Pelodiscus sinensis: one gene and its partners. The protein of the gene in region 2 binds, or shares a complex with, the protein of the main gene of each other region. Links are inferred from orthologs where the notes say so. Each region holds a gene or a part of one and is shown on either strand. Other genes may lie near its edges.

The links.
Region 1: FLCN (region 2) and FNIP1 share a complex: the UniProt entries of both Homo sapiens proteins name them as parts of the lysosomal folliculin complex. The link is inferred for Pelodiscus sinensis from reciprocal best matches to the Homo sapiens genes FLCN and FNIP1.
Region 3: FLCN (region 2) and LAMTOR2 share a complex: the UniProt entries of both Homo sapiens proteins name them as parts of the lysosomal folliculin complex. The link is inferred for Pelodiscus sinensis from reciprocal best matches to the Homo sapiens genes FLCN and LAMTOR2.

The regions. Positions count from the first base shown.
Region 1 is NC_134727.1:26,107,988-26,111,734, reverse strand, and holds the start of FNIP1 (folliculin-interacting protein 1), read right to left. Parts: upstream 2,432-3,747; 5' UTR 2,410-2,431; coding exon 2,180-2,409; intron 1-2,179. UniProt on the Homo sapiens protein: Binding partner of the GTPase-activating protein FLCN: involved in the cellular response to amino acid availability by regulating the non-canonical mTORC1 signaling cascade controlling the MiT/TFE factors TFEB and TFE3.
Region 2 is NC_134726.1:33,890,933-33,894,679, reverse strand, and holds the start of FLCN (folliculin), read right to left. Parts: upstream 2,795-3,747; coding exon 2,546-2,794; intron 1,153-2,545; coding exon 1,006-1,152; intron 1-1,005. UniProt on the Homo sapiens protein: Multi-functional protein, involved in both the cellular response to amino acid availability and in the regulation of glycolysis.
Region 3 is NC_134734.1:16,810,906-16,814,652, forward strand, and holds the start of LAMTOR2 (ragulator complex protein LAMTOR2), read right to left. Parts: upstream 2,848-3,747; 5' UTR 2,756-2,847; coding exon 2,688-2,755; intron 1,331-2,687; coding exon 1,168-1,330; intron 40-1,167; coding exon 1-39. UniProt on the Homo sapiens protein: As part of the Ragulator complex it is involved in amino acid sensing and activation of mTORC1, a signaling complex promoting cell growth in response to growth factors, energy levels, and amino acids.

The DNA of each region.
Region 1 (3,747 bases), on a different chromosome or scaffold from region 2:
ACTTAATCTGAATATGTCCACTAACAGATTCATCATATAAAAATATCTTAAATGTACTAGCAGGGAGGTAATTTTAAATATATGCATCCTGTCCTGGCACACAGTGTTCTGTATTAAAGAAAGGGGAGGAGGAAGACCTCAGAAGATGATATAGTAATATTTTCTTCCTTACAACACACAATCCTAAATATCCCTAGTGTATGGAACACAGCTGTTGAGTTGTACACTAAATCCTCAGTAGAAGTTTATCATTAAGAAGTGTCTGGACAGCATAAAAATCAGGTAAAATATAATTGGCTCTCTCTCTCTCTCTCTGTTAAAGAAGAAATTTTGGCCCACCCAGTATGTCAGTAAAATAAAATAAATTACTCAGCTGGAAAATGAAATGGAGGTGTTTGGGAAGCTATAAACCAATTTTGCTACAGGTGTATTCCAACATTTATGGCACTGGATTCTAGGTTATTTCATAAAAACATGGAAGATCAATCAGTATGCTGTGAAAATGGTTTTCTTGAGAGAATAAATGGGTATGTTTAGTATTTACCATCCCCGATGTTTGCAGTGACTGGGTCTCAGGAACTACAGAAAGATGGTACTGTAATCCAGTACAGATCCAGAGGGCAGCCCTCAGGTCTACATGTTACCCATCACATTGTGTAATGTAACTTACAAAGATATTTAAAATATTAAATGGAGAGCTGTTCCAAGCAGTCAATTTAAAATGTAAATATTCACACCCCGCAATTCACACCAACAAATGCAAAGTGTTATTTACATGTCAGTTACAAAGTCATGATAGTGGTTTAAATTAATAGTTTGCAACTAGACCAGATTTTTCTACACAAATCTACTAGATGGTTATTGCTCTGTCTATCCATTACTACTGTTATTTTATAGACCCTAAAATACCTTTGGCTAGATCAACCTTTAATCTTATTTTTAGAATTTTGATAAGTTACAATAGGGACAAACTGCCAAAAGTGTAGTTCTGGTCCTGATTTTTAACTTTACACTGGAGTCCTCATAAAAAACTGCAAATTCAAGTCCTTATACCACACAGGTGTCCCTGGATCTCTAGGGATCTGCTTTCTCCAGACAACAAAAAACCATATTCTGTTAGCATTTTAGAAATACAGGGAATTACACATACAATCAGCTTAAATTGAAACGTTTAATGTTAAGAGATAAAGGTGGCGAAGCATTTGTAAGGAGGGTGCAAGCATTTTTCTTGCAGTCTTGTGTTTGGAAGCTTAGTGGATTCAGTTTTGTTGTGGTTAGATCATGACAGATTTTAAGAGTAACCTTACACTTCTGTTGGCAGCCTGCATTTCATATTTGCTCTTCCCTCTTAGTATTTATTAAGGTGGCTCTTTCCAGATAGCAACCACCTCGCCACTTCAAGAAAGTCAAAAGAATGGCGTCTTTTTTAGGGGGCTTGTTAAATCTGCAGCCTCAAAAGTGCGTCAAAACATCAAAGGCAATAAAATAAAATAAAATAAAGTTAACAAAGGAATTGGAGGACGGGGAAAGGGAAGCGAGAAATCCCAACCCACGCCAAAAGGAAGAGTCACAACCTAATCAGAGGAAGCAACCCATCTTGGGAAGCGCTAAGAGGCTACTTCTGCTTTGCAACTTTTTTACAAAGAAGGACGGCAATGAAAATAAGACTTGTTGCAGAGCGAAGGGCTCGGGGGGCCGGGATCCCCAAGGGGTTGCGTTGGAGGAGAATAGACGGAGGGCACCTTTAGGAAACACTCGGGAGAAACAATGTTGCATGCGTCCCAGTGCATTGCAAAAAGCGCATCAGGGATTTCCGTCCAGCTTCTTGTGTAGCGGGAGGAACCCAGGCCAAGAAGCCTCTCCACTCCCAGGGCTCTCCCGGGAAAGGGGCTGGGAAGAAGGGAAAGGAGGCAACACACCAAATGTGTGTGTCAAACGGGGGAGGGGAGGATTGCAGGGGGCCAGCTCAGTCAGTGTATCCAATCCTGCACACCAGAGCCCTCCAGACAGAGCGCAAAATCACCCCCCCCCCCCGATCCTCTCTTCTCTGGCCTCTTCCATAGCAGGGGCGAGGAGTAGTTTGCATCAGGCAAACAGGCTAGAAAGTAACGAACTGGTCCAAGTTTGTGAGCACGGGCGAGAGAGAGGGAAGGGCTGCCCAGGGCTCCCCCCGCGTTACCTGAAGACACACTCCTCCCTGGAGTCCCTGGCAGGAGAACTCAGCCCGGGCTTCTTGTTGAAGAGCTTCTGGAACAAGGTGGGTGGCATTTTGGGGCGCGCTGCTCCCCGCTGCCCCCCAGCCTCCTTCTCTCCCCGCTGCACCCAGCGGAGGCGCTGGGGCTGGAGCAGCGAACTCCTCCGGCAGGCAGCTAGTTCCGCGAACCCGACTCCATTTGGTGTCACAGTCATATGACAAAAATTAGTCACTTGGAGCTGCCAGAAGAGGAGGATCGCAGGGAGGCGGGCCCGGGAGGGGTTTCTCCGGGGCCGTGCACCGCTGAGTGGCTGAGGCCCCAGCACCACGTGGGGGGCTTTTCTGCTCAAGCAGGCCCGCTAGGTTTTGGTGGGGCCGGGGGAAAACTGGACAGATCCAGCTATTTTTTGGCCGCAGCAGCAACCCCCTCCCATTCCACTGTTAAATGGAGAACAAATCGAAGCTCTCCTAGGATACCGAATCTAACGCCGGGGCTGCCAGGATCCCATTGCAACAGCCTTGCTCCTGCACGTAGCTCCTGTTTGATCCAACTAGGATTCCCCTGATCCGCCCACAAAAATACAGAACGAGTGTGCAGAGACCTCCCTCTCTCAGCAAAGCCCCCATAGGGCCCGGTGCACCTCAGAGCAAATGGTTTAAACCGCTAGGACAGGGTACAGGCGGCCGGACGGATCTGAATTTTTGCTCCTCGGGGGGAAACAGTCTCTGCCTAAATAGAGAATAGACTCCAGATGCAACAGTCGAACCTCATGGGCCCCAGCTCAGCAAGGAGGCAAAAAACTGGGATCTAGTGTCTGATCTGGTAACTCAGAAATTGTTTCGGCATCTTAGGAAACATTTCCATTTTCCAGTATGGTCTGGATTATTCTGGTAGAAACTGTATCTGACGGTACTGCATTAATTGGTAAAACTGGGGAGGAGGGGCCGAAGTCACAAATAGCTAAATGTAGTGGGATGCAGGTGAGTCTTTACAGCTTTCTTCTACCAGGATTTACTAGAGGCCAGAATTTCTTCCTCGAGTGCTAGAAGTGCCACTTGTTCTCTATTTTGATGGGACAATTCCTGAGTTCTCAGGTGCAACGAGAGTGGCAAAAGAGGATTTCTGTTTAGGCAGTGGAATCTGTGGAGAGCTAGACCCTGGCAGAATCCAGGTGCCAAATTGACCTATTTCCAGCATTGCTGGATCCTGCTGCATTAGGGATCAGGTGTTTTTTGGTGTAAGAAGAGCATTCAGCTGTTCTCTCTTCATATGGCAGAATTAGAGTGGTTAGAGCCAGAGACTGGCCAGATTTAGCAGAATTTAGGTGCTGAATCCAAAATATGTGTGTGTGTGTGTGTATATATAGACAATGGGAATTGAAGACTCTGGTATAAAAAATAGGAGGCTCCCCCCCACTGATCCAGCTTTTTACTTTCTTTCCTTCATAAAGAGTTGCCAGTTACAGATTTAAGAGACTGTGCCACAGTGCAGTATCTGAATGAAAGCAAAAGTGACTCACGTGGGCGGTTCAGACTATACAATACCCAGAGAA
Region 2 (3,747 bases):
ATTTCCTCTATCGAAAGATCCGCCTGCAGTCTAGACACGATCTTTCGAAAGAGCCTCTTTCGAAAAAAGTCTGCAGTCTAGACATAGCCCTCAAAAGGAGCTTTCCCACTCCTTCGGGTGTTGCCTGCTGAGGCACAGGCAGAAGCATCACCCAACAGATAAAAGCCTGACAGGCAGAGCCAGACATCTCTGCTGCTGCCCCATGTACCTGGCACAACCTTCAGGGTAACTGGCACTTCAGAACACGGCTGTATTCTGGAGCAGCAAAGCTGATGAAGTGGGTACATGAGCTGGGGCAATCTCAACTTCTGTGAGGTTTTCCCTCCTTTTGTAAAGGCTGTAAGTTATCAGTCCACCAGGTAAGAAACAGCATTTATCAGGAGCAACAGCCTGCAAGGAGGCTTATTTTGGAAATAAATACGTTAAACAAATAGGGACAAAAGCAAGAAAGCAAACACACAGCCTTGAGATACAAATGCCTTTGCTTCAGGTGTAGAGTAGACCCCCAAAGTGAACACCGGTTCTCTTCAGTAACAGATCAAATGAGAGGGGGACAAGGTGGGTGAAGTAATCTCATCTACTGGACACGTTGGTGAGAGACACGCCTTTGGACTACACATAGCTCTACTGCAGGTCTGGGAATGTATTCAGAGAGGCACAGCTAGGTGGAACAGATTAGTTACCTTGTATGCTAAATCACGCAAGATAGCATTCCAAGTGATCAGATAACGCAAGTTCAAAATTAACTCGTCATCGCTCTGAAAAGACGGACATTTTATATAAATGCCTTCTTTATGCATCAAAGAGCAGAGTCCGGTATTTTTTGTCCTTTGCAGTCATCTTTAAAAAATTCCTGCCAAATACTGAGACCCAGGGTCCTCTGGCCATGCATTCCATTTCCAACCCCTTCCAAGTTACAAGCCGTGGAGGAGGCCGATATCAGTGAAGCTGAGTTTTAGATTAGAAACAGCACAGATTTTTCTTGCTGAATTTCATATCACTTACCTCACAACTCAGGCTGCGGACACAAGCCTGACGCACAATGCTAAACAGCTGCGGATGGTTTGGGTGCTGGTGGCTGACATATTTGATCAATGTCTCTTTGTCATGGCTGACATATCCAGGGTGTCCTGCTGCAAGAGAGCGGCAACCCTGGCCACCGAAAGAAAAGAAAAATCTTACAGTAAAGTAAGAGACAACTATTTAATATACTTATATGTAGGCCCCGTTATCACAGCACCTGACTGACTAACAATCTTCAGCATAAGTATCCTCACAAGACCCAGTGAGGTAGGAAAGTATTTACAACGGGGAACTGAGGCACCAAGAGGCAGAGTGATTCACTCTAGATCAGGAAGTCTGCGGCGCAGTAGGGACTTGATCCATTCTCCCACCTCCTAACCATCCTTTCACTCTTACAGCCTCTTTCACAACTCACTTCCTCACTGGATTTTGTATTTGACAGGGGCTATGCAACTGGCCAAATTCAGCTAGTGGTAAAGCAACTGCGAACCCACTGACATATTGAAATCTGTCCCCACTAGAGAGACACGAAGCACACTAGGAATGGATTATTAGAGAGGGTACTAACGTTAAGTGGAAGAGCACCAAGGGGTACGGATGGACACACACAAAAACGTGGGCAAATACATTTAACTGGCTACAGAATTTGTTTCCATTTCCTGCGTTATACTTTTCTGTAAGTGTTGCTGTGCGTTCACTATGGCAAAGCAATTTCTCTCTCTCTCTCTCTCTCTCTCTCTCTCTCTCTCTCTCTCTCTCTCTCTCTCTCTCTCTCTAGATAGATAGATAGATAGATAGATAGATAGATAGATAGATAGATAAACATTTTTTTCCTGTGGGATGACAGAGTGAAGTCATCACGTCACTCTGCGTTGCCACGCGCCCAACTGCAACCCAGAACACACCCCGGAAACAGCCTCTTGCCACACTACCAGCTCTCATGGCAGGCTTCCCTACTGACCGGCCTCTTCGCCCGCAGCCCTATCGGCTGCAGCCCCTCCAGGCCCATACGTGGAGTTTATGAAGGCACTTCCCCATGGCGGTCCAAGTAAGTGTGAGGCTGGGGCGGTCATCGCTCCAGCCTCCTTTCCGTGCTCTGGATGGGGGGGTGGAAGCCACGAGCCTCTGCGCACGCCTTGGCCCGGACCCCCCAGCTGCTGGGGGAGAGCTGGTGCTAGTGCACCATGGCCTGGCCCTGTCTAGTGGCGGTGGGGAGAAAGGGCCAGGGCAGGTTGGGGTAGGAGAGGCGACAAAGAGCCTGGGGCAGGATAGGAGGGGCGACAAAGAGCCAGGGTGACAAAGAGCCGGGGCACCGGCAGCTGGGCTGGGCCCTCCCCTGCCGAGAGGGGATTTGGAGAGAGATGCAAGCAGGGGGCACAGCCCCCTAGTCTATAGTTTATTAGGGTTTCGAGATTCCGTGCAAGTATAAGCCATTTTCCGTGCCCCAAATAATAACACGCCCTTCATTGAGAAGCCATGGCCCATTCATTCAGCAAAGGACACAGGGTGCTCATATACACACCTCACACATATCTGACTTCTTCGGCCCTGGGCTACTGGAGTCAGCACTAGCACCTTCTGCTGGGCTGTGTGAGCGGATCCTACTGCTCATCTGAATGCCACCTTCTTCATCTTCTGCTTGCTCGCTCTGCCCAGGGCTGTCTCCATTCCCTGCGCCTTGCGGAAGCGGCGAATGCAGCACCTCTGTACAGAAGAGGGTGCGAGGGCCATGGAGCTCACAGAAATGACAGAGGGCGACGATGGCGTTCATAGCTGTAGCTTCACTCGCTCCTCGGCTCTCCTGCAGGTGAGGGAGGAAGCACCCCACATCAGTATAATGAACAGAAATCAACACATCCCCACGGCACCAGCTGCGATCTTCCCACTCAGGAGGAGCCGGGAATCAAGTTCAGCTCTGCAGAGCTCTAGGGTCAGTTCATTTCCTCCGGGGTCGCGCAGAGTACGAAGCCCAGCGCTCAGCGTGCCCTTTCTCTCCGTGCAAATGGGCAAGCGCAGGGCAGGATTTTCAGGCCTGGGCCCAGGGCAGGGGAGATCCAACCTCCTTCCCTCCAGCTTGGGCCTGACCTGACCTATCCCATGGAATCACCTGCCCTCCCCAGCAGAGACCTGGCCCAACACCTCCCATGGGGACTCCTGCACCCCCCACAGAGACACCCGCCTCCCACCTAGGACCTGCCTGACCCTCCCCCACGGGGACACCCCCCCACCTGGGACCTGCCTGATCCCCCACACAGGGACACCCCACCCCCCAAAACCTGATTCCCCCCAAAGACACCCCCTCACCTAGGACCTGCCTGACCCCCCCCCCCACTGGGACCTGCCTGATTTCCCCCCCCCACAGGGACACACCCCCCCACCTGGGACCTGCCTGACCCTCCCCCACGGGGACACCCCCCCCACCTGGGACCTGCCTGACCCTCCCCCACGGGACACACCCCCCACCTGGGACCTGCCTGACCCTCCCCCACGGGACACACCCCCCACCTGGGACCTGCCTGACCCTCCCCCACGGGACACCCCCCCCACCTGGGACCTGCCTGACACCCCCCCCGGGACACCCCCCCCCCCACCTAGGACCTGCCTGACCCCCCCCAGGGACACCCCCCCACTGGGACCTGCCTGACCCCCCCCCAGGGACACCCCCCCACCTAGGACCTGCCTGACCCCCCCCAGGACACCCCCCACCTGGGACCTGCCTGACCC
Region 3 (3,747 bases), on a different chromosome or scaffold from region 2:
CAAGAGATTCGCCACCCGAGTGATAGCAACACGACCCTCCTGCAGTTGGCGGGGGGGGGGGGGGAGGGGTGGAAGAGGGAGAGAAGGGGAGGCCGGCAGAAGGGAAGAAGAAAAAAAAAAAAAAAAAAAAAGAGGATTTGAAGGATAGGTTTCCACTCTAGAACCCCCATGTCCCGGACATTTTAACCTTCTGCTCTTACAGTCAGACACTGGGGATCCAAATCTCCACTGGGAAGGCACTGTGGTGCAGTCTGCTGGGAATTCAAGAGACCTGGATTCTCTTTCCAGTTTTGGCACTGGCTAACCTTGGAAAGTCACCTCATTTCTTTCCCATTTGTAAGACTGGAGACGACCCTCCTTTGTGAATTGCTTAGAAACCTACTGATGATAGATTCCTGTGACACCTTAAGACTGATTTATAAGGGAATAAGTTTTTGTGGGCAAAAACCTGCTTCGTCAGGTGCATGGAATGGAAATTGTACAGTATGTTAATGCTTGCCTCTGTAACTTCCACTCCATGCACCTGACGAAGCAGGTTTTTGCCCACAAAAACTTATGCCCAAATAAATCTGTCTTTAAGGTGTCAATGGATTCTTTGTTGTTTTTGTGGATACACACTAACACAACTACCCCTGAGACTTGATGATAGAATGCTGCTTCAGAGCAAGGTATTATGTTCTTACTGCCCTGCACAAGGTGATCAAACAAATTGACCAACATTATCCCATCAGATTGTCCCATCACACTTGAAAGCCTAGGTCATTCTTAAAGAGCAAGGCATTTGCTCTGAAATAAGATCTTTCAGCCGCATGTGTGCGAGGGAGAAGGAAGAATGGCAACCTGCTTCAAGTTTTGGCTTTGGATAACTTGTGTTGCTATGGCATCTAAGTACTTAATCTGAACTTCAGCCTTACCCCACGGTGCAGCTATTATCCTCGTTTTATACATGGGGAAACTGAGGCAGAAAAGAGGCAGTTAACCTATATCAGTCCATGGAAGAGCGGAGAACAGGCATCTGGAGTCCTGTGATCCAATTCCACATCTGTTTCAGGGATCTATGGGTTAAACTGATAAGAGCGGAGACATGTAGCAGCATTCTACTGCTGAAAAACTGAGCCTTTCCTGTAGGAATGAATCCCTGCCCCATCCCTGCACCTCACAACGTACCATGCAGTCCATAAGGATGAATTTCAGGTTGTCCTCATTGAAAGCCTGGTGACCGTTCTTGTCATAGGCCACCCAAATGTTACTGGCGATGGCCGCCGTGACCCTGGCATCTGTGTCTCCATAACCAGAATACGCAAGTAGAGATCCCTCATTGTTCAGAAGTCTACAAAGGACAGAGGGGGAGAATTTGAGCCAAGAGCCCACAGGGTTTTGTGCCACTTCTGCTTAGGCACGGACTTCACTCATAGGGGTTTCTATGGTGCTCATCACCTTAGTATCTGATCAGACAGAACACACACGGAATCTCGTGACATCCCCTCTGAGGCATGTCTCACCCTCATTTTAGAGAGGGTATCCAAGGCGAAGTGATAAGACCAAGGGCAGATAAGGCAGTGGCAGAGCTTTACTTTACACACCCCAAACCATCCTTCCTCTCTAGCAGGGGTGCTCTTTTTCCATGGGTGCAGCAGCTCCTAGGAAGAGAGGGCTGTGGGGGAATGGACCTCCCAAATTTTTTATTTTACTGTCTTGTGGATACTGCTCTGGATACAGCCTCAGCCTGAGAGTGCGCACGGGCTAAGTCTACACTGGCACTTTACTTTTTGGCTCAGGGGTGCCCCCCCGCAACCCCTGAGCGCAGTAAGTTACAGCACAGTGCCAGTGTGAACCAGACTACAGTGCTGGGAGCACAACTCCTGGCACAGCCTCAACGTTTGTATCCACATCTGCATTTGTAAGAGTGATCTGTGGATTTGCAGGCGATACAGATGCAACTGTTCCCCGCCCCCATTTCTTTGCCTTCATGTGGCTACCCACATGCAGACCCAGCACAGAGAAGATCTACGCAAGAAAAACAGACTACCTGCATGCAACAACACCAAAGTGTACTTCACTGACATACCTCTCCCCAGGGCTTCAGCAGGGAAAATATTAGTAATCTGCTCTCCAAGTTCCCATCCCCTGTCCCCCACAATGCCTTCTGGAGGAAGTCCTGGCCAGACCCTTTTACCCCTATCAATGTGCCCTCTAATTTTTTCCACCCATATGGAAAATAAAATTTATGTGCAAATGTGCACCACCAGCAGAAATAGGTTACTGGCTGTGGGCACTGCAAGTGTTCTGCTAATCAGCTGGGCAGCATTTGAATCTCTCCTAGGTGACTGTCCAAGGCAAGCACTCAGCTTACAGGGAATGCTGACCCCCCCCCCCCCCCATCCACATCTAATGCCTCTGAGGAGGGACTACTCCTTATTAGGGTGCACTGGGCTGCTTCTTCCTCCCCACTTTTCAGAAAAGGAATTGTACAACACAACTGAAGCTGGGTGGGGGGCCACCAAGATGTCTCTGTTCCTACCGGGGCATGAAGTGGGAGATGTAGGGAGAGGGGAAGACCCTTTGGAGGAGGGGGCACTAATCCTTAATGGGACCACTGATCTGGTCACAATACTTCAGGGACAGGGTTCCCTGATCCATACCCAGCCATGCCCACTCCTCTCCCCCACCACTCCCTTTATACTCACAGGGTGCTCTGGACCCCTCCAGTGTTGGCTTGGCTCAAGACCTGGGTTAGGGCCTTCGGGCGCAGCATGGTAGCAACAGATCCTTTTTCCTCCCTGCAGTGGTGGAAACACACACAGCTCAGAGAGCCTGCTTCCCCATCAGCTGATCAACCCGTGCAGGGCGACTTCAGCCCACAGCAGGCTGGGAGTTGTAGTTCTTTTCCAGTTCTGTTGCATAGACAGGGCATTTCATGCACACAGATTGCAGGGCAATTTCTCTTTGTGGGTGACTAGCATACCGCTGGTGCTACACACCAAACGACCCCAGTCCTTAGCAGTTCACACAACTACTGTGATCTCCTGTAATCACACCACAGGAAACATACCATTTACCTTCATACAAGCTACAGACAACTCACACATTTTGGGTCTTTTTAACATCCCCAGCTGCTGGAGTCAGTTGAACCTCAGCTTTCATGAAAACAAAGTTTCTAAACTTCACGATTGCCATGTTGCAAATGCCAAGCATGTAGAAAGGGAAGAGATAGAAAGAGACCCACGGGTCAGCCCCCTAGAACAATTTTGTGTTCTTTTTATTTGCTTGCTGGATTTCGAGCCTTTAGGAATATGTAGGTCACATTTACAAGATTTTTTTCCCCCGCAAAAAACCCATCAGCTCCATATCTATCTGACTTCTATAGGACTTCAGGTGTTCATGCTGGAAATCAGACACCAAATATGAGGAGGCTGGTGATTCAAAACAAAACCACCAACCTACTGTCTGGGGACATTGCAGTTGTAGAGGAAAAACTGATAAGCATGACATCTAAAGACTCAGGAAAAAAAAGCAAATACATGTTATTTTTGGAAGATCTTGTCATTTTTAAGCCAATCTCATGGCTTCTGGCAGACCTGACCCAGGAGTTTGATAATTTGGGCAGGGATGACACTGCAGCCCTATCAGTGTCATTTTCCCTATTGCTGGTCCCATCTGTTTATAAAATTCTCTACTACCCCAGGTACCCCCAATCCCTGTGGGGGCAGTAGAAGAAAAGCATAGGCAGGTGCGTGAGTGAACTGG